Drosophila melanogaster: one gene and its partners. The protein of the gene in region 1 interacts with the protein of each later gene in a pairwise test. Each region holds a gene or a part of one and is shown on either strand. Other genes may lie near its edges.

Region 1 (3,458 bases):
TAAATTTTTTATACGAAGAATGGCATTTTTCAATGTTTCTGCTACGGTCACACCAATTGGATGTTTACAAATTTCGTTTACGAATTAAATAAAAAAAAATATAAATAAATACAGAAACAACTAAGGATGGCCCACTACAAAGGTGCCGCCAGCGAGGCGGGCCGTGCAGCCCAGCTGATGAAGAAGCGGGAGATCCAGCAGCAGGAGATCGAGTTTCGCAAGAAGAAGATCGAGGAGGAGCTCAAGCTGGACAAGATTGAGAACAAGTTTGCCACCCACTACGATGCCGTGGAGCAGCAGCTCAAGTCCTCGACCATTGGTCTGGTCACCCTCGACGAGATGAAGGCCAAGCAGGAGGATATAGTGCGGGAACGGGAGAAGAAGCTCGCCCAGAAGAAGGACGAAAAGGATCGGGAGAAGCAGCGCGCCCTGGAGGCCATTCAGGCGGAGAAGAACAAGCAGAAGCGGCAGATCCAGGCGCTGTCCTTCAACCTGGACGACGACGAGGAGGAGGAGGAGGAGGACGACGAGGATCACGATAAGAAACAGCTGAAGATTAAGCAGGAGGATCAGCCCAAGCCCAAGTGGACGGAGATCAAGGAAGACATTTTGCCCATAAAGAAGAAGAAGATATGCAAGAATCCTGACGTGGACACTTCCTTTCTGCCAGATCGCGAGCGCGAGGAGCAGGAGAACAGACTGCGCGAGCAGCTGCGTCAAGAATGGGTAATGCAGCAGGCGGAGCTGAAGGACGAGGACATCTCCATCACGTTCAGCTACTGGGATGGCTCCGGCCATCGGCGGAACGTGCTGATGAAGAAGGGCAACTCCATCTACCAGTTTCTGCAGAAGTGCCTGGAGCTGCTGCGCAAGGAGTTCATCGAACTGAAGACCGTAATGGCCGACCAGCTGATGTACGTCAAGGAGGATCTGATCCTGCCGCACCACTATTCCTTCTACGACTTTATCGTGACCAAGGCACGCGGCAAATCCGGCCCGCTCTTCCAGTTCGACGTCCACGACGATGTGCGCATGATAAGCGACGCCTCCGTGGAGAAGGAGGAGTCCCATGCCGGAAAGGTACTCCTCCGCTCCTGGTACGAGCGCAACAAGCACATCTTCCCAGCCAGCCGATGGGAGCCCTACGATCCCACCAAGTCCTACGACAAGTACACCATCAAGGACAAGGATAAGAGTAAAAAGTAGTGCTTAGGGCAGTTTCTGCCCGAATAATTGTACAATATAATAATGATTGATTTAATACATCAAAACAAACGAAAAATAACTACAATTTTTATTTGATTTTTCCACCAGATTTACAATCAGTTTAATTAAACTATTATAATAGGCATTGAATGAAATATAAAATATATAACAAATTTATGTTTGCTTAATACAATTTTGAATTCATTAGAAAATGTCATACTTCTCATAAGAATACCCCTAATTATTTAAAATGGCACTGTTAAGAGAACTTGTTGCTAAACAAATTTGGTAGAAATTTTAGTTTATAAACACAGTATAATCAGAGAACATGCAGTTATTCAGCACTTCGTATTGATTGCCATGAAAAAAGAACTGTTAGATTTATATTTTATTTTAATTTTTTAATATTCCAACTGTCATAATAGTCAAAAGAAGTCGGATATGGCGGGAAAAAAGCTAGCCCGCCAGCACCAATAGCAACATTGAATTTTTTGCGCCAGTAAAATTCGCGTCTTTTTATAAAAAGCAAGCGTAATTAATAACAAAAATAAAATAAGTTCCAAGTAAAATGTGAATTCATTTTTCGGATACGTATCGATTTAGTGCCATTTGAGAACCCCGAACCAACGAAATGTACCCGGCGCAACCGGCAAAGGTGGCGTTGGCCGGTCAACCGATATCCGCCGGAAAACCACCACGCCACAGCCCTGTTCAGATGAAGTCTATCCCTTTGCCCGTCTTCGAGCTGCCGGAATACGTGTGCGTGGAGACCAAGTGGGTGACACGCAAGTACGCGATAGAGAATGGCATTCCAGTGAAAGAACTGCATGCCCCGATCACCAATGGAGGCGCTACAGAGTCTCCCAAGAAATCCGTACAGCAGAAGAGACTCAACGAGGTCACTGGAATGTTTGCGAACGAGGCTATGGTGCCGCGCAGAGAGCGCGCCATTCAAACAGAGAATGCGGGCACTAAGGATGCGGGCATTCAATGCCGTCGCGATTCGGAGGAGTGGTATTTACCAGAGGAACGGCCAAAGGATACCGGTTCTGAGGCCTCCAATTCCGACAAATTTCTCACCTACGTGAGCGAGAACACATTCATATTTCCCAACGGCATGATGGAGTGCGCGGTGTGCGGCGATGTGGCCAAAACCTTGCTGGAGCACCAGAGCCACATGACCGCGCACTATGGACCTGGTGCTCTGTGCTTTCGCTGTGGTCAGCGTCTGGACCACCAGAAACAATTGAAGCAACACAGTCTGAGCTGTCCCGCTCTAGCGCCCAGGAAGTCATCGATGCTCTTTAAATGCCCACATCTACTCTGCAACGCCATGAGCCACTCAGAGATGCAGTTGCTCAGGCACCTGAGAAACCATAGCGGCAGGAAGTGCTACAGATGTCTTCAGTGCAAACGTTACTTCAAGACCACCACCTCTCTTTTGGTACACCGAAAAAAAGAACAGAGTTGTGCCAAGGCGAAAGTGGTCGTCCTATTTCGCGAACACAACGGGTTGCCCAATGGAAGAGGTGATCCCAGACGTTGCTCAGTTTGCTTGAAGCGTTTCAGCAGCGAGCGGGTATGCCTGCGGCACCGGAGACAGTGCATCCTTGGCCATTTTAGACGGCTGTCCAGGGTCCTCAAGAAGGAGCTATGAACAGCGTATAGAAATCTTGACCTAGCTGGTATTTATTAGTACATAGAAATCGATAACAATAAAGCGAATAGATCCTACGAAGCCTGGACGCCGTGAGCCTTTTTCAGTCCCTGGAACAGCATCAGTTTCTCCCGGTTAACTTCCTTAAGCGTCTGCACCGCCAGCTCCAGTTGCACCTTCTTCAGCGCATGTTCGCTGGCGATGTACTGCTCAATGAACTTCAGGCTGATCTCATCGGCGGCGAAATCGTGCTCCGTCTTGCCAATGGCCGTATGGATCTCCTGCTCAATGTTCTGCTTATTGTCATGTCGTCGGAAGACGCTTCTTAGCTCCGCCAGGGCACTTTCCGCCGGCGTGGCATGCAGTTTGCCCAGTTCGGTCAGCGTTGCCTGATACTCCACTGGGATGTTGTGTAGCTTGTAGCTCAGAGCAATCAGCTCCACGGCATTGTGCAGATAATCCCGACGGATCATGTCATACAGCAGGTCGTCGATGCAGCGGTGCCAAGCGTAGAAGAAGGCCATGGGTCCAAAGTGGCGGGTGGAGCGCAGAAGATCGAACTCCTTGGACTCGTTGAGATGCTCGAACACACGCG
Region 2 (6,248 bases), about 13 Mb from region 1:
ACCCTTACAGACCTCGGCGGTGCACAGGAAACTTCAAAGCAAGGTGGAGGCACTTCGAATCCTGCGCCAGGAGCTGGAACAGTTTCGCGTGGAGCGAGACCAGTACAAGCTGGTGGCGGAGACCCTGCAGCTGCGCTACTCCGCGCTGAAGAGTAATAGCGAACTTCTGGCTGTCGGTGGATGTGGAGCCCTCAGCGAGAACTCCAGCCTGGCAGCCCTGCTCCACGAGACGCGCGAGCAGAACCTAAAGCTCAGCACCGAAGTGGAAGCCCTGAGGCAGCGGCTCAACGAGCTGCATGGCGACATGGAACTACTCCGGGAGACGGAGGCCAGCAACAAGTCGCGGGTACAGGCAATGGCCAGCGAGAATGCCGCTCGCAACAAGGAGGAGCTGCAGTGGCGTCGTGAGCGGGCAAACTTTATCTGCCACCTGGAGGGCCTCAAAAAAAGGAATGCCCAGCTGGCCTTCGACCTGAAGGCGGTGATCGATGAGAAGGAGGAGCTGATAACCGAGCGGGATGCCTACAAGTGCAAGGCACACCGCCTAAATCATGAACTCTTTGTGGCCCTCAGGGCGAAGAAAACGCATCCAAGGGTGAGTTAACTGATGCTATATAGTACTTACTTGATAGTTATTGATTTTCCAGCTCCTGGACATCGATGGTGTTTTGCTGGAGAACAAGTACCTGCATGAACGTGTGAAGATCCAAGACAGCGAACTGGAGCTCACCAAACAGAGCATCAATAAGTACAAGGTACTGGTATTAGTTAAGACTTATTACCATTTTATTTATTTATATTTAAATCATTCAGACAATGTTGGATGCAAAACGAAAGAAGGGAATTGTAAAACTTGGCGGTGGGAGCACAAATGAGGACACCATTCTAAGCCCCCGGCAAGGTGAGTAATTATATGGTGGCCACCTCTTTCATGCCTTTCTAATTTGTTTGTACCCTAGTGAAAACAATCCTCGAGAGTGGCATTGAGCTGCCTCAGAAAACCGAGAGCTTAAGCGATCTAAAATCCTTGTGTCTGGCCCTGCTGGACAATCTCAACGACAAGAACTTGGCCCTGACGCACCAAAAGAAGACCAACAAGTAGGAAAATCCAGCTGAAAGTTGATATATATTTCATAAACCCATATTTCCTGCAGAATACTGGCTGGCAAAATGACGGAGCTGGAGCAGCGGTGGCAACAACTCCTCTCCGGAAACGATGACAACGCAGAGGAGCAGGAGGAGGACGTGGAATATGGTTATGCGCCTTCGCAGCTGCTCCTCAATGGCTATTGTGCCGCCATGGTAGATGACGCCGACATCAGCAGCACTCCGTCCATTGAGCCAGATAACGAAGGCGTCGCCATTACAGCGGATCATGAAGATTCAAAGAAGCACAAGTCCGTTGAGGCTCTGCATTCCGACGATGGAATGTCCTCGCTTTCAACGGAGTCCGTGGATTCGTCTGTGTACGGTGCAGATGTGCAGCCCGATGACTTCCAAAAGTCTTCATCCGCCACAACAGATTCGGGCAACTGTGGATTGAGCAGCCGCTGCAACGGCACGCCACGAATATCCAGTGCAGTGGCACGGGAACGTATGGAGGATCTGAAGGACCTGCCGCCTCACCTGGCCACTCTGGTCCAGAAAGCACTTCACGATCTGGACATGCGGGACTACGAGGCTATGGTGACGATACGAGCAGAGAATCTGGCGGCTATTCCTTAGAGAAAAACTAGTTCAATTGAGGACTCCCAAAGAAATGGATGAAACCATATCTCAGTGTTGACAAAAGATATAATACATATATATATTACCGCAACAGCGTACAATAAAACCAGATTATATAAAATAAATCACTTTATTCAATCGATATTGCGTTGAAACTGGATATGTACAATAACTATAGCATACAGTTTTAAAAGACGCGCCCAAGTTATCGATAAATAATATGCGGAGTGTTGCATACCGTTAGCATAAACACACTCTCACACACTCTTATTTCTGGGTATACATTTTCTGATAAGAATGCAATAAATATCCCGACTGGTTGGAGTAATTTCGAGTTTTTGAATTAAAAATGCCTTAAGAAAAGTTTTTAATGAGCCATGTAGAGTTAACACCAGTGCCACATATCCTGGGAATGGAGCACCAATCAAAAGTCATCATCAAGCGGCCCAAATCAGGCCAATTCTAGTCGGAAAGTCGTTGCAGCCGCCCATTGCCACCATGTCGAATGATGTGCAGGTCGCCCGGGTGGCCAAGATAGCTACCGATGTGCCGCGTCGCAGTGGCAAGCAGCGTGACTCCAGCGGATTCCAGGGCAAGCACTCCGGCAGCGCGGCTGGCGAGGATTTCGAGTACGTCTTCGGTAGCATTTCGCCGCGCGGTGGAGGACCCGGTGGCAGGCACTTGGTGGGATCCTCCGACCTGGACTCTCCGGAGCACACGCAGCGGGACACCACCGAGAGTGACAACAACATATCCAGCTGCTCCACGCTAGACATTGTCAACAAAGTGAGTAATGATGCCCGCACTGAGAGAAATAACTAGATCTTAAATCAAAAAAATCAATATATTAATTTGCAATGATACATTGGTACTAAACATGATCAAGTTCATTTTAAATTAATTTTTAAAATGATCACAAAATATTTAAAAATACCTCATTATTGTGTAGTTTAAAATAAGAAACGCAGAATTTTCAATCATTGGTTTTCAAAGTGTTTCGGGCTTTAAATTCGGTTGGCGTCCAGTGCGCAGATGCGTGTGGAAGGCTGAGGGTCAAGTTGCAGCGGCGGAGAGCGCGGATGCATCCGCGGTCGGATGACGACGTAATCGCCAGTCAAAATTTTCCACTGGACCATGATTTCGGAGCAACTGCTTCCGCGCAGCTTGAGCTGCCTGTGCTGCAGCGATACGCCATCGGTGCCCAACGACAAGAGACGCAGTTGGGAGTATACGCTGATGGCTCATCCTCTGGCCAGACGGCCCATAAACGTGATGACCCCAAGAATAACCACTTAGAAAGCTCTAATCCGCCTCTTTTCTTTTGATTCACCTCCAGGTTGAGCAACTGTCGGTACAACAGCTAGAAAACCGGGTGCGGGATCTAACGCAGCGTCTGCAGCAGGCGGAAAGACAGCTCACTGAGAGCAACACAGAGCGGGAAATATGCCACAAGCGCTTGGAGGTTGTCAGCCAGGCCCACGAGTGTCGCATCACAGAGATGCACTGTGTCATCGCCGAGTTAAGCAAGAAATTGCGCAGTAAGCAGGACCACGTTATCATGGAGGAGCAGGAGCCCGACGGCAGCGGTGCGTAGCAGTTTCAAATGAGGGAAACAAACCCCTAACCGACAGTCTTGTTTTCAGAACTCAGCTTTCAGGAGGGTTCAGTGTACAATTCCGAGCTTAACCTCACCAATCCTGATGCCGAATGTCAAACAGAACCACTGGAAGACTTCGAGGGCGCCTGCAGTACCACCAGCGTGGGTAACGTTGCCCACAAACCGCCGGAACTGAGCCATAAGGGACAAGTGGAGGCACTGCAGGAGGAAGTTCTGCACTTGAGAGCTCGAATCGCCCTCCTCCAGTCCGAGATTTCCACCAAGGATGCTGCTGTGGTCGAGGAACAGACCAAAGTCGCCTTCGACTGCGAATCGGAAGTCAACGAGTGCGGACAGCGACTGAATGATTTGAATGGTAATATAAATAATCCTGATGATAAAAGAATGGTTACACATTTAGATGCTTTCAGTTTGCACTTCCTTGACAAGTCCGCAAAAACGCATTCCAGCGGTACCGAAAATGGCTGAACGGGTTAAGTTGCGGTGCGCCAGCAAACATGAATCCGGAGAAGATCCATCCCAAGATACTTCATTGAGCAACGAGGTGTGTTGACCAAAACTTTATTCAGAGAATACATTTCAACCCATACAACCCATAATTTTAAGCAAATTAATCTGGTCGAACATTTGGTGTCGGAGCTAAAGGAGCAAAATCTATATATGGAGAACTTTATGGAGCCCCTACATTTGAGCAAAGACTTGGAGCGACTGCAACGACGTGTTGAACAATTGGAGATGCGAAACACCATGCTGGCACTGACGCTAGACGAATGCAAGGAGCACACTGAGCATCTGTATCTGCTATGCGGAAAGTACGAGTCCAATGCGGTTGCTCTTCAGTTGGCGCTTAATTGCAGTGATCGCGCCATCGAGGCCTACGACGTAATGTTGGCTCTGCTCGAAAGCAAGTAAGTACAATCACCATAAGACGCGGGTTGTTGTCCCTATTTCACAATTCATCACTTCCAGGTTGGCACTGCTGGGGGAGAAATCAGTGGCAGCGGAAGAGAGTCGACGATCGGTGGAGGCGGTGGCCAGGCACCTGCTAGCCCGTTTGGATAGCGAGAAAAACGTTTGTGAGAACAGCCTGGGACCGTGGCAACACAACATCAACCTGGGCCCAGAGGATGCCCCAAAAACTGGCCGCCCGTGGTGTGCCGACGACGACAACCGCCTGCGTTACCACGTCTCCAAGCTGAAGGGACGTCGTTCCAATGTCCAGCATACCATTGTCAGTTTGGAATCACCCTTCAGCGACATATACGAAAGAAAGCGCCTGGCTTTGGAAAAGGAGCACGAACTTCGGAGCGCGGACAAGAAGTCACCCATTGACTTGGAGACAGCAGTGATTATGCAAGAAATACTCGAGCTGCGGGATTCGAATTTGCAGCTGAAGACAAAAATGGAAGAGGCCGAGCAGGAACGGCAGAACGCCAACGAACGAGTGGGCATACTCCACGAAGCCCTAAAGCAGCTACAGGCAAACAACCGGGTCTCGTATTCGGAGGCGGAGCATGCGGCTCTCACAGAGCAGCAGTTGGTGGAGGCCTTAACTCGAGAAACGGAGCTCAAGGGTCGCATACAGACGCTATTGGCAAATGTAACAGCTTCGCAGAAGGCCTTCGACGAAAAATACGAGCAACTGCATCAGAACGTGCGTGAACTGCAGAAATCCAACCAGTAAGATTCGTTTTATTTTGACTGTTTCATACATAATTTCTTCATATTTCCCTTTTAGCAATCTGGGCCAAATGTTAGATCACACCAAGCGCAAGTACCAGCTGCGGGTGAGGAAGCTAGAGCAGAAGATTGTTGACCTGCGGCTGGACTACGAGCAAGGCCATAACCATGTTCCTGAGACTACTCTGTAGGAAACGCATGACGACCTTCCAGGAGGACTGAGCAACTGGGCGTGGAGCGGGCGCGCTTGTCACATATCCCGCAAAAGATCTTTCCCTCTCGATCATATCGCTTATTTTACCTTTAATGCAATGACCACCCGCCCAGCAGTCGCCGTGGATCCGCCATGACCAAGACAGTATCACGAATGTGCCATGCGACTTAATTGCAGTCGGCTGGGGCTTGGGCGGTGTCCCTGCCTCGCAGATAAGGCTGCAGTAACTACATACTCAAATACATACATATTCAGAGGTGCCATGAGCAAGGCTCCACCAACCTATCCATAGATCCGTGGGATTGGAGCATCCGTCTATGGGCCACAAGCAATTACATATACACACATACGAATAGACAAACTAAGGAGTTATTCAAGACGCATACACGGGATCCTATATTTATACAATGTATTCGCATTTTGCTTGTTATATGATTCAATATGTATTTAAAACTGTACAAAATATAAAACGTCTACTAAAACTCGATAAAATTCACGAATTTGAAATTGGCTCCAATAATTAATCGATAAGCTAATGAAACTAACTTAAGCATCCATCACCATTTCGTGTAGTGTTGCAAATCACCAGAATCAAGTATATGAGTACTTGTGAAATAAAAATGTTTTGAAAATTTAACTTAATTTACTTAAAATGAGTGCCACAGATGCATCTACAGCCGATAGTGGCGCTAAACGAAAATCTTCTGAAGATATCACACACAATTGCAACGCAAATTTTGGCGCAGAAAACGGCCTAAGAAAGCGCGTAAAATCGGAGGAGCCTGTGGCGTCCATTAAAGATGAAACAAATCCTGAAGTTCCTATGAAAATAAAAGCTGAGCCAGTGGAGAATGCAGATGAGCCCACAAGCACTACTCCTGCGATCAAGATTAAAGCCGAACCAGCGGACAATGGAAACTCACCTGCAGCTGCGATGGTAAAAACCGAGCCCACTAATAGCAATGCACAGGACGCCGCCGACGAGTCTACCGTATCTTCAAGCAGTAT
Region 3 (4,770 bases), on another chromosome or scaffold:
AAGTATTATTATGTAATCTAAAAACCCGCACCAAAGGACAAACGATCCACTTAACTAGTAACCTAGCTACCCATATTTGAGCGCACTAATTGTTATGAACCGATTTTTATTGAACCGAGTATATCTTATATGATGATGCAACCTCGATCTGAAAAACGAAAACAAAAGAGTCCACACACTTGTTGAAATTTGTCGCATACAGCGAGCGAAATAATTGCATAAACTGGCATTATCTATCTATTAGATATTATTTCTATATAGCATATTTATTTCCATTCTTGTTTATGGAAACAGAACATTTGTAGATGTGTGTCCCAAAAAGGGCCTGTTTATCTTACTTGGCTACATTTCAGAGCTCTCATATTATTTTACCATTTCAAATCATCTGCCACTTGGCAGCTCAAATTTCCCACTTTAAGTTCCATTCTCGTTGGGTAAATCCAATGAAAACTGATAGATAGAGATCGTAATGGAGTAAAATCAATAATGATAGCATTGATAAAGCCAATGGAAATACAATTATTTCGCGAGCTGTATGGTTTAGCCTAGCGACCAGTGAGCCTGTTATATTAGAACTCTATAGATAGATCGTCGTTTGGCAATCAAACGTTGTTGAATTTGAAGCCCAAATCGAAATCGAGAACAAAACTCGATAACCGATAATCGATAATCGAGAATCGAGAAGCGGCGAGCCCTTTAAGCATTGTGATATGATATAATAGCAAACGAAGTGAATTCAGAGTGCGTCTGTGTCAAGAGCGGAGAATCGTATCGAAGGAAATCAAAGTATTTACGATAGCTACAATCCATAGTCGATATAAAATATTAATAATAATACTAATAATATTATTGATGATATATAGGTACCATATGTAATGTTTGTACTTTTGTGATTTGTGTTCGTTCAAATTTTTTGTAGGGCCGCGTGTTTTGTAATTTAGATTTAGTTGGTTCAAGGATCAAAACTTTTTTAAGCGAATGTTATATATATACACGCACCGTTAATACACACATAGATTTCAATTTAGAGAACGTTTTTTAAACAGTAAAGGACAATAACTTTGCAAGCATTTACCATATGATTCCATGTTAAACACAAGTAATTATAATTACCAAACATTAAACAAAAGTTCGTTGTTGGTCCCGTTTTAACATGAACCGATTGTCCGCTACAACCTTATAATATATGATGATCATAATGTATATGATCCTGAGACCATAATAGAACGCACTCGAATACACGAATAGTACTTTCCTAGTCGCACCTGCATTTTGACCAACCAACCAATCGAATCGAAAACCTGGCACATTTCTAGCTCAAGCTTTAATCAATGTAATCCTCTAATAGAACTCAGTAACGTTTTTGAATCACACTTACTAAATGGATATAAAATACATATATGTATGCAGAGGGACAGTGCGTTTCACAATTGTATGAAGTGAGATAATAGCATTTATTCATTCGGTTCGAAGAACACAATTTCCCATTTGACAACTTTTTGCGGTAAGTTCGATTACATATCCTAATTAAAAACAGCTGGCTGAATTCGAAATTATTTGACAATCGCCAACAGTTGGCCATCATTTGTTCCGAAATTTAAAAGATTGTTACTTGTGAAACGCGCTGCACCGTATATATAAGCATATATGTATATATTTACACAAAAAATATATAAAGAAGGCATTTAAAAGGCATTAAATGGAAAGTCCTTTCACCTAAAAACTTCTAGTATATAAATCGCTGAGAATTTTTTTTTCTTTTTTTTACGTACTATTAGCTAATGAAACGATATGGCTAAACTCGAGTTGAATTTGTATTTATACGGAAATATATATATACATATATATATATGTGTGTACGTGCTATATAAGATAATGAATGCTACAAATTGTTATACACGTAAACCGAAATTGACTCAAATAAACGAATAAAGATATTAAACGAAGACAGGCCAGAAATCAATATGCACTTTGACGAAACACGGAGTCCAAACAAAGATGTACGGATTGGAAAGGTATAGTGAAACATGCCTATAAAGAACCATAGAAGATTCACAGATACTTTTACCTTCTTAAATTCTTTAAGATGCCCCAAGTAATTGATTAAGCAAGTGATCCATAACCTATATATATATGCTATATATGTATATATTACTAATCTTTGAAATCGCTTTCAATGAGTTCCTCCTGTAGTCGAATGTATCTTTTGCATGCTGATGCGAGACATCTGTGCGGCCATTGGATCTTCTATATTTAGAGCCAGCGATTAGCAGCCAATGGCAGGCAAGGAACCGATCCCGAGTCCGATCCCTTGCATGCTCGCTGTGTTGTACCTCATGCTAGTACACCTCGTGGGCGTCGGATACCCTGGGGACACAACGACGACGACGACGACGGAAACCACTTGACGCTGCCAGACAGTCTGACGGCGACAAGTAGCTGCGGTTGCCAGTGCTTAAATGTTCGCGCCCCGTTCCACATCCTTTTAGTCGATCAGCAAGCGAGGATGAGCAAGGACGCCAGTGTTAGGATTTGCCAGCGGGAGCGACGTCTCCTGCGGACGCCGAAGTGCGCCAGGTGTCGCAATCACGGCGTCATCTCCTGTGTCAAGGGTCACAAGCGTCTGTGCCGTTGGCGCGAATGCTGCTGCCCCAATTGCCAACTGGTCGTCGATCGCCAGCGGGTGATGGCCGCCCAGGTGGCCCTGCGACGTCAGCAAACCATGGAGGCTCTGGAGGCCACCGCATCATCTACAAAATCCACGGGCGTAACAACGGCCAGTGCCAACAACTCCAGCAGCAGCGAGGGCGAGGACTCCCTCAGCTCCACTTCACCACCGCCGGCACATTCACATCCACATTCGCATTCGCATCCCACATCTTGCGTTAGCAACTCATCTTCATCCTCGGCCACCCGACAGGCTCTGATGGCCCAAAAGAGGATCTACAAGCAGAGACTACGCAGTTTGCAGCAATCCACATTGCATATCACAGCCGCCATGGAAGGTTAGTATGGGACTACATAAATAAGGATTTATGTACATATCAAAAAGGATATCTATCTATGAGTCCGCAATCAAATAGACACTTTCCAATTTGGAAATTATTAGATGTCGTAAAGTAGACGACACAGCTGAAATGATAAGTACATTCCCTACTCACACGCTTTCCCATACGGTGCCAGACTGTCTGGTCCGTTCGTAATCGGAGATCCTCTCCGGTCTCCAGTCTCCTGTCTCCCGCCGCCCATCTTCCGTCTCTTTTCCTCTGTCCATGGACGTGGTCGTGGTCGTGGACAGGAAATGACTGATGCCCAACAATAACAACAGCAATTATTCGACTGACGAAAAACAATTGAAATCGGATGCTTCGAAATGTGTGTGTGCAGTGTACGCACATTTTCCAATCACTTGAGGGGAGTCACATTCGGTAAGCTGAGACGCGACCAAAAACGGAAAAACCCATCCGACTCACAAAAAGAGCCAAATGTGGCAACAGCAATTGACTTCTTTCTGGGTTTTCCATCTGGTTCCATCCGAATAAGTGGAGATCCCGAAACCGGTCCGAAGTTGAAACAAAAAAACAAAAAAAAAAAAACGGTGCCAGGCTGTCTGGTCAGGCGACGCGTGTCTCGGATTACCCAATAATAAATTGTTTCAATTTGGAATACCCATTCATAACGAATCGCGGCAATTTGTAGTGATAACGCCCCCACCAAAACCCTCACTAATTTCAACCATTCCTTTTGGTTCGTTCTCTTTCAGAATACAAACAGCGATTTCCCACGTTCAGCTCGCCATTGATGGAGCGCATGCGCAAACGGCGGGCATTCGCCGATCCGGAACTGAACCATGTCATGGAGGCGACGCTGGGCGGTAACGCTTTGTACTTTGCCACCGTTGCCGCCGCCGCCGCCGCCTGCGCACCCGTTCATCAGGAGCAGCACATTTATCACCCGATGCCGCCGACGATACCGCTAACGATCCCGCCCACAAATCCAGCGATGACCACGCCCGCAGTCACCACTGCCTCCACCGGCAGTGGCAAGAAGCCCAAGCTGAGTTTCTCCATCGAATCCATCATGGGCATCAGCACGTAGCCATGGCTTTCTAGGGCTTACTACCCATCATTTTTTCCAAATGCACTCTGTACATAATTCTAGCGTTAGAAAACCCATTTTTTTGAATAGCAATAAGTTTCGAGTGAAATAAAACATGCGAAAAGGTTTTGTAGAAGAGAAAAAAAAGCTTACCAAACTATTGATAAAAATTCTTTTATACGGAGGAGATATTCACAGAAATCTTATTTTCTAAGAGCTATCATAACGAACTTGAAAAGAATACTATATAAACAAACCTAAGTAGACTATGGGTAAAATGTAGGGCATAGCTTGTTCATACATTTTCGGGCCAGGATTGAATCGACACAAAACTAATTCAATGGGACACTCCTATAACAATCAATTTCAGTGATATATGAAGATGCGCACAAAGCCAGCAAAATTGTTTAAGTGAATTTAAAGCCTTACACGAAAAACAAGCAAAGAGCAAAGATGTTTAAAAACAGAAGTAAGTTCATAATTAATAGAAATAAACGAAAGTTAGTTAAGATCGCAATTAATCGATATTTAAAAAGAGCTATTTATAAAACACATTAGTTTGTTTTTGAATGCTCTGAGCTTTCCAGTGTTGGTGCAAATCGCTGGTCTATCGATCTATCGCCGTCTATCGAAAGTTTGGCTGCGAGGGCTGCAGACGTGATATTTTTAAAA
Region 4 (4,849 bases), on another chromosome or scaffold:
GAATCCTCCTCTGTGGCCCTACACCTTGGACTACAAGATGCCGCACAGCTGCACGGGCGTAAATCAGAATTGCCCGTCTAGGAGTTATCCGGGCATTTGGGAGCTGGTTATGAACCAACTGGAAGTGGGCGAGTATATGTGCGGCATGGTGGACACGTGTCCGCCGCATTTGAGCGGCGAGGATGTGTACAGAATGCTCACGCACAACTTCAAGAGGCACTACCTCAGCAATAGGGCACCATTTGGCCTGTATTTCCATTCGACTTGGTTCAAGAAAGTCGACTATCTGAATGCATTTCTGGTGAATATTCGAATTGTTACCCATAATACTAGATCTTCATTCCTTCCTGATCATTTAGAAATTCCTCGACGATCTGCAAAAGCTGCCGGATGTGTTCTTCGTGACTAACCAGCAGGCGATTCAGTGGATGCGCCATCCCACGCCCAGCAACCAGCTGCACCAATTCGAGTCCTGGCACTGCCAACCGAAGGACTTGGATCCCCACGAGCAGGTCTGCAACACGCCGAATGTGTGCAAGGTGCGTAGTCGGGTGCTGCAAGAGGATCGATTCTTCTACACTTGCATGGAGTGTCCTGCCCAGTATCCCTGGATTCGCAACGAGTTCGGCTTGGACTAAGGTGATAGCCCGCTTGACACTATAGGGCTCTGCGCAAGGCGCTTTGATATATCCATAATGTTTGGAGCGTTCCATAAGTAATTGGATAAGATTGATACAATTTTAGGTTTTAATTGTTTAGAAAAATTAATATTTATAAATTGGATTACGCATATTTAGATGATTCAGCTTTCAAAATCTGACCGTAAGCAAACCCGTAGATAACTTCGTAACATACCTGAAGAGGATAAAGTGCATTAATTTAAAATCGGAACACTCTGAATTTTATGGAGAAGCTTAAACAATTTCGCGGGCTCATAAACGTGGTACTTTGCGGCCTGATTAGATTTTAAGAACTAATTTATACGTATGTATGTCTCCGCTAAATATATTTAAACCGATTTCCAAAAGAGCTTTGTACTTAGTCTACATTCTGGAACGCATCCCAGCCACAAAACCTTGGACTATTGCGTTATAAACGGATTGGCGATGCTCTCGACTCCGTCTTGCGGACAAATGAGGACGAGGGCTGTGCCGCGACAGACGACCAGTCCCAGGCTGCGGGTCTGCTCCTCGGTCAGTTTGTAGGGCTCATCCGAGTCGCGCAGATACTCCACCGTGTTGTCCAGCACCAGATTGAGCAGCGCATCGTAGCCCTTGAGGATTCCGGATGCCTCGCGGCCGCCCGCGAATTTCACGCGGATCTGTTTCTCCAAGTACTTGGAGAGGTCCAGAATGGACTCCTTGCGGCGCTTCTCCTTACCGTCATTGTTGCCACCCACCTGACAAGTCACGATTTTGATGATTAAGCACCACAATGTAGTTATTCTATTTAATTTACCTTTTTATCTGCCATTATTCTGTTTTTGGTAAATGCCGGCTGGTAAAGAGTGACCAAAGCATATTTTTTTAGAAATACACCAAATAAGGCGCTACTAGCCAGCAGATGGCGCTGGTGAAGTAATCTTATGGGCCGCGCTTTTTGAGGTACATAATCGATAATAATGGAATAAACATATGTAAGAATTAATGTTATTTGAAAAATATGACAACAAAGTTCTCTTATTTCTACTGTCATCATTGTGAAATTATTTTCTTACCTTTTGCTATTGAGGCGAACATATCAATTTATTTGTATAATAATTATTATATTGGTTTAAGATATCGATAAGATTCATTTATTTGTATCGATATGCTGGTCACTCTGACTGGCTCTCCATTTTGTTTTCCACGACAGAGCAATTTTTAGTACAACAGATTGTTATCTTCTACCAATTACCGGATCGATTTTGTACATTTAAGTGTTTTAAAGCCACCTTAGGATCATGGGACGCAAGAAGAAGAAGGCCTCCAAACCCTGGTGCTGGTATCCTTTTCGCAAAACAAAGATATAAATATTTTTTCACTGCATGTGCCGCTCGCTGTATCTGCACATACACACACATTTATATAATGGTATTGGGTTGGGGGTAGATACACACACACATGTATATGCATACTGGCTACAACGCCGCATCCCCGTGAATTTTCCTTAACTCTTAACGCAAAAAACTAGGTACTGCAACCGTGAGTTCGATGACGAAAAGATCCTTGTGCAGCACCAGAAGGCCAAGCACTTCAAATGCCACATCTGCCACAAGAAGTTGTACACCGGACCCGGACTATCCATACACTGCATGCAGGTGCACAAGGAAACGGTGGACAAGGTCCCCAACTCGCTGCCCAATCGCTCAAATATTGAAGTCGAAATCTTTGGCATGGACGGCATTCCCGCCGAGGATCTCAGGGATCACGAACGTCAGAAGAATGGTGGCAAGTCTGATTCGGACGATGATGAACCGGTGGCCAAAAAGAAAGTAGAATGTAAGTGATCAGCAAACTGTATTGTATACAAAATCGCTATACAACATTCATTGCAGATGCCATGAGTGTACCGCCGCCTATGATGATGCCCCCGAACATGATGCCACCGCACATGCTGGGGCAGTACGGCATGGGCATGATGCAGCACATGCCGCCACTGCCTCCGTATCCAGTGCCCATGATGCCGCACATGATGCCTCCGCGTCCTTTGTTTCCAGCCGCCATGGCCACAACATCGGCGGCAGCTGCTGCGGCGGCGGCCCATCATCACCACGCCGCCGCCATGGCTCAACAAAAGCCAACATTTCCAGCGTACAGGTTAGCATCGTTAGGGGAAGACCATATAAGAATCCTTCCAATTTTTTTTTCTAAAGCTAGCAGTTAGACGTAGAGCCCTGTTAATAATCTTTTTTTTTTAAACGATTCGTATGTAAATTCAGTTTTGGGGGTATTTTAGGTGAAATACTTTCTACTCCAAATAATTGTTCACATTGGCACATTTTTAATGGTTTTCCCCTATTAAACATAGTTGTGAAGCAAGTCAAATGACTTATTATTAGGCTTAATCCTAAGAATTTGTTTTTAACTAACGTAAATCAATTATTTCTTCTTTTTGCTAAAGTAATGCTACCATAAGTGCTCCGCCTACCACCAATCATGCTGGTGGCGCATCCAGCGCACCACCAAGTGGTCCGCCAGATGCTCAGCAACACCAGCAGCGACCTCCAGCTCCACCGGCGGCAAGCGGAACTTCCGCTGCTGCTGTGACCACAAAGATTATGCATCCACAGGAGGACCTGAGTCTGGAAGAATTGCGCGCGCGCCAACCGAAAATACAAGCACGGTTGGCGGCCGCTTTGGCTTCACTGGCGAATCCACAAAGTCGCAAGAGTCCCAGCAACAATGGTGGCCCCTCTACGTCGATTCCCACCACTCCGCCGCCCCCGTCGCTGGCCGGGATCTCGCCCACGGGTAGCAATAGCAGCAGTGGCATGGCTAACTCGATTGTCGTCTCCGCAGCCATGTCGAAGGCCCAGGAAGTGAGTTCTTATCATAGTTATAGAAACCATAGTCAATATAAATAAACAGACCGTGACGGAAACGACTTCCACTGATTAACAGGAAATGACAAGCACAACGGACTGAAACGAGGACGTGTAAAAAAGACAATTTCCTCCAAAAAAAGAAAAATAATGAAAGAATAAATGTAATTGCACATAAAAAAACCTGACCCAATTTCGACTGCATTTTAAGAGAATGCATTCAGCATTCTAACAGAATTCCATTTTTCCAAACTGGACACTTTTATACATTTACTCTGCGCAGATCGCAAATTGCGACAGCGGAAGTTACGTTTAGACGACCACAGCGTACGAGAGCAAACAGATTACGAGAATCACACAATACGAAACAACATTAAAAAGAAAAGAAAACTTTTTTTAGCATATAGTATGATATATGTCTGTACAATTTTTAATTAAAAAAAATTAATGGCAACAAAACAAATGAAACGGCGGTTTTCAATTTAATTAATTTGATTTAAAACATTTTACCTCAACACATAGAGAACTCGATAGAAGGGAAAAGCAAGGTTTCGCATTGTCTTGGCCCTAAAAGTAATCTCCATCAATGTGATATGCCAACACATGTGCTAGTTTTGTATCTTAAAGGTAAAGCGGAAGCAGCTGAAATGCAATTCACATGCCCACTGATAAATAGTGAAATTCTTTATAGCGGGTGGGCTGATTTAATTGGATCATAGGGGCAGGTTTGAAGCCAGCTTGCTTAGTATGTTTTAGAAATCTATGTAGTCGGTTCCATACACGCTTAGGAAGCGTTTTTTACATCAAGCGCAGGCTAAAAACTCATTTTTAAATAGGGAATCTTAAATTAGATGATTACTTTAATTCTTGATATGATCTAGTAATTTTTGTTCGTCAATTTTTGTTACTTCAGCAGCTTACAATCTGCAATTCTATTTTTTCATTTGGGGTTCAGCCCCGTTTTTTTGAAACCCTTAAGCAAATTTTTTTGTTACCACGATAGGTACATAGAGACCTGACTCAGTCAGGATACATTTTTTTTGGGTTGACCCCGAAACTACACCCTCCCAGTGGCAAGTGAGATAAATTCAATCGATTCCAAACATTTTCTTACAGAACGCCGCTCTAGTTGCCGTGGCACAGGCGCAGGCACACGCACACGCACATGCTGCCCAGGTGCAGGCCCAAGCGCAAGCCCAGGCCGTGGTCCAAGCTCAGGTGCAAGCCGCGCATGTGGCACACGCTGTGGCAGCACAGCAGCAGGCAGTACAGCAGCAACAGGCGGCTCAGCAGCAACAGCAAGCCGCTGTGCAACAGCAGGCGGCG

What was found.
Region 2: the proteins of Boh1 (region 1) and CG34404 interact in a two-hybrid assay, tested with the Drosophila melanogaster proteins (one large-scale study listed by BioGRID).
Region 3: the proteins of Boh1 (region 1) and dmrt11E interact in a two-hybrid assay, tested with the Drosophila melanogaster proteins (one large-scale study listed by BioGRID).
Region 4: the proteins of Boh1 (region 1) and BuGZ interact in a two-hybrid assay, tested with the Drosophila melanogaster proteins (one large-scale study listed by BioGRID).

What each region holds. Positions count from the first base shown.
Region 1 is NT_033777.3:27,917,663-27,921,120, reverse strand, and holds Boh1 (buddy of Hmr 1), read left to right. Parts: upstream 1-1,660; 5' UTR 1,661-1,837; coding exon 1,838-2,863; 3' UTR 2,864-2,937; downstream 2,938-3,458. Other genes in the region: CG12259 (uncharacterized protein), read left to right, coding at 127-1,206; mRpS22 (mitochondrial ribosomal protein S22), read right to left, coding at 2,938-3,458.
Region 2 is NT_033777.3:15,363,413-15,369,660, reverse strand, and holds CG34404 (uncharacterized protein), read left to right. Parts: upstream 1-1,995; 5' UTR 1,996-2,226; coding exon 2,227-2,514; intron 2,515-2,838; exon of another isoform or gene 2,839-2,862; coding exon of another isoform or gene 2,863-2,997; exon of another isoform or gene 2,998-3,064; coding exon 3,065-3,314; intron 3,315-3,371; coding exon 3,372-3,701; intron 3,702-3,756; coding exon 3,757-3,890; intron 3,891-3,952; coding exon 3,953-4,254; intron 4,255-4,315; coding exon 4,316-5,026; intron 5,027-5,084; coding exon 5,085-5,217; 3' UTR 5,218-5,728; downstream 5,729-6,248. Other genes in the region: CG14868 (uncharacterized protein), read left to right, coding at 11-595, 648-755, 814-901, 960-1,098, 1,155-1,725; CG6171 (uncharacterized protein), read left to right, coding at 5,893-6,248.
Region 3 is NC_004354.4:13,366,236-13,371,005, forward strand, and holds dmrt11E (doublesex-Mab related 11E), read left to right. Parts: upstream 1-1,955; 5' UTR 1,956-1,964; coding exon 1,965-2,015; intron 2,016-2,257; coding exon 2,258-3,005; intron 3,006-3,763; coding exon 3,764-4,098; 3' UTR 4,099-4,237; downstream 4,238-4,770. Other genes in the region: CG1640 (uncharacterized protein), read left to right, coding at 4,552-4,567.
Region 4 is NT_033779.5:16,741,588-16,746,436, forward strand, and holds the start of BuGZ (Bub3 interacting GLEBS and zinc finger domain protein), read left to right. Parts: upstream 1-1,817; 5' UTR 1,818-1,942; coding exon 1,943-1,977; coding exon of another isoform or gene 1,978-1,983; intron 1,984-2,172; coding exon 2,173-2,480; intron 2,481-2,536; coding exon 2,537-2,798; intron 2,799-3,102; coding exon 3,103-3,520; coding exon of another isoform or gene 3,521-3,565; exon of another isoform or gene 3,566-3,978; intron 3,979-4,639; coding exon 4,640-4,849. Other genes in the region: ChLD3 (chitin and LDLR binding deacetylase 3), read left to right, coding at 1-301, 360-638; LSm7 (uncharacterized protein), read right to left, coding at 1,082-1,399, 1,459-1,473.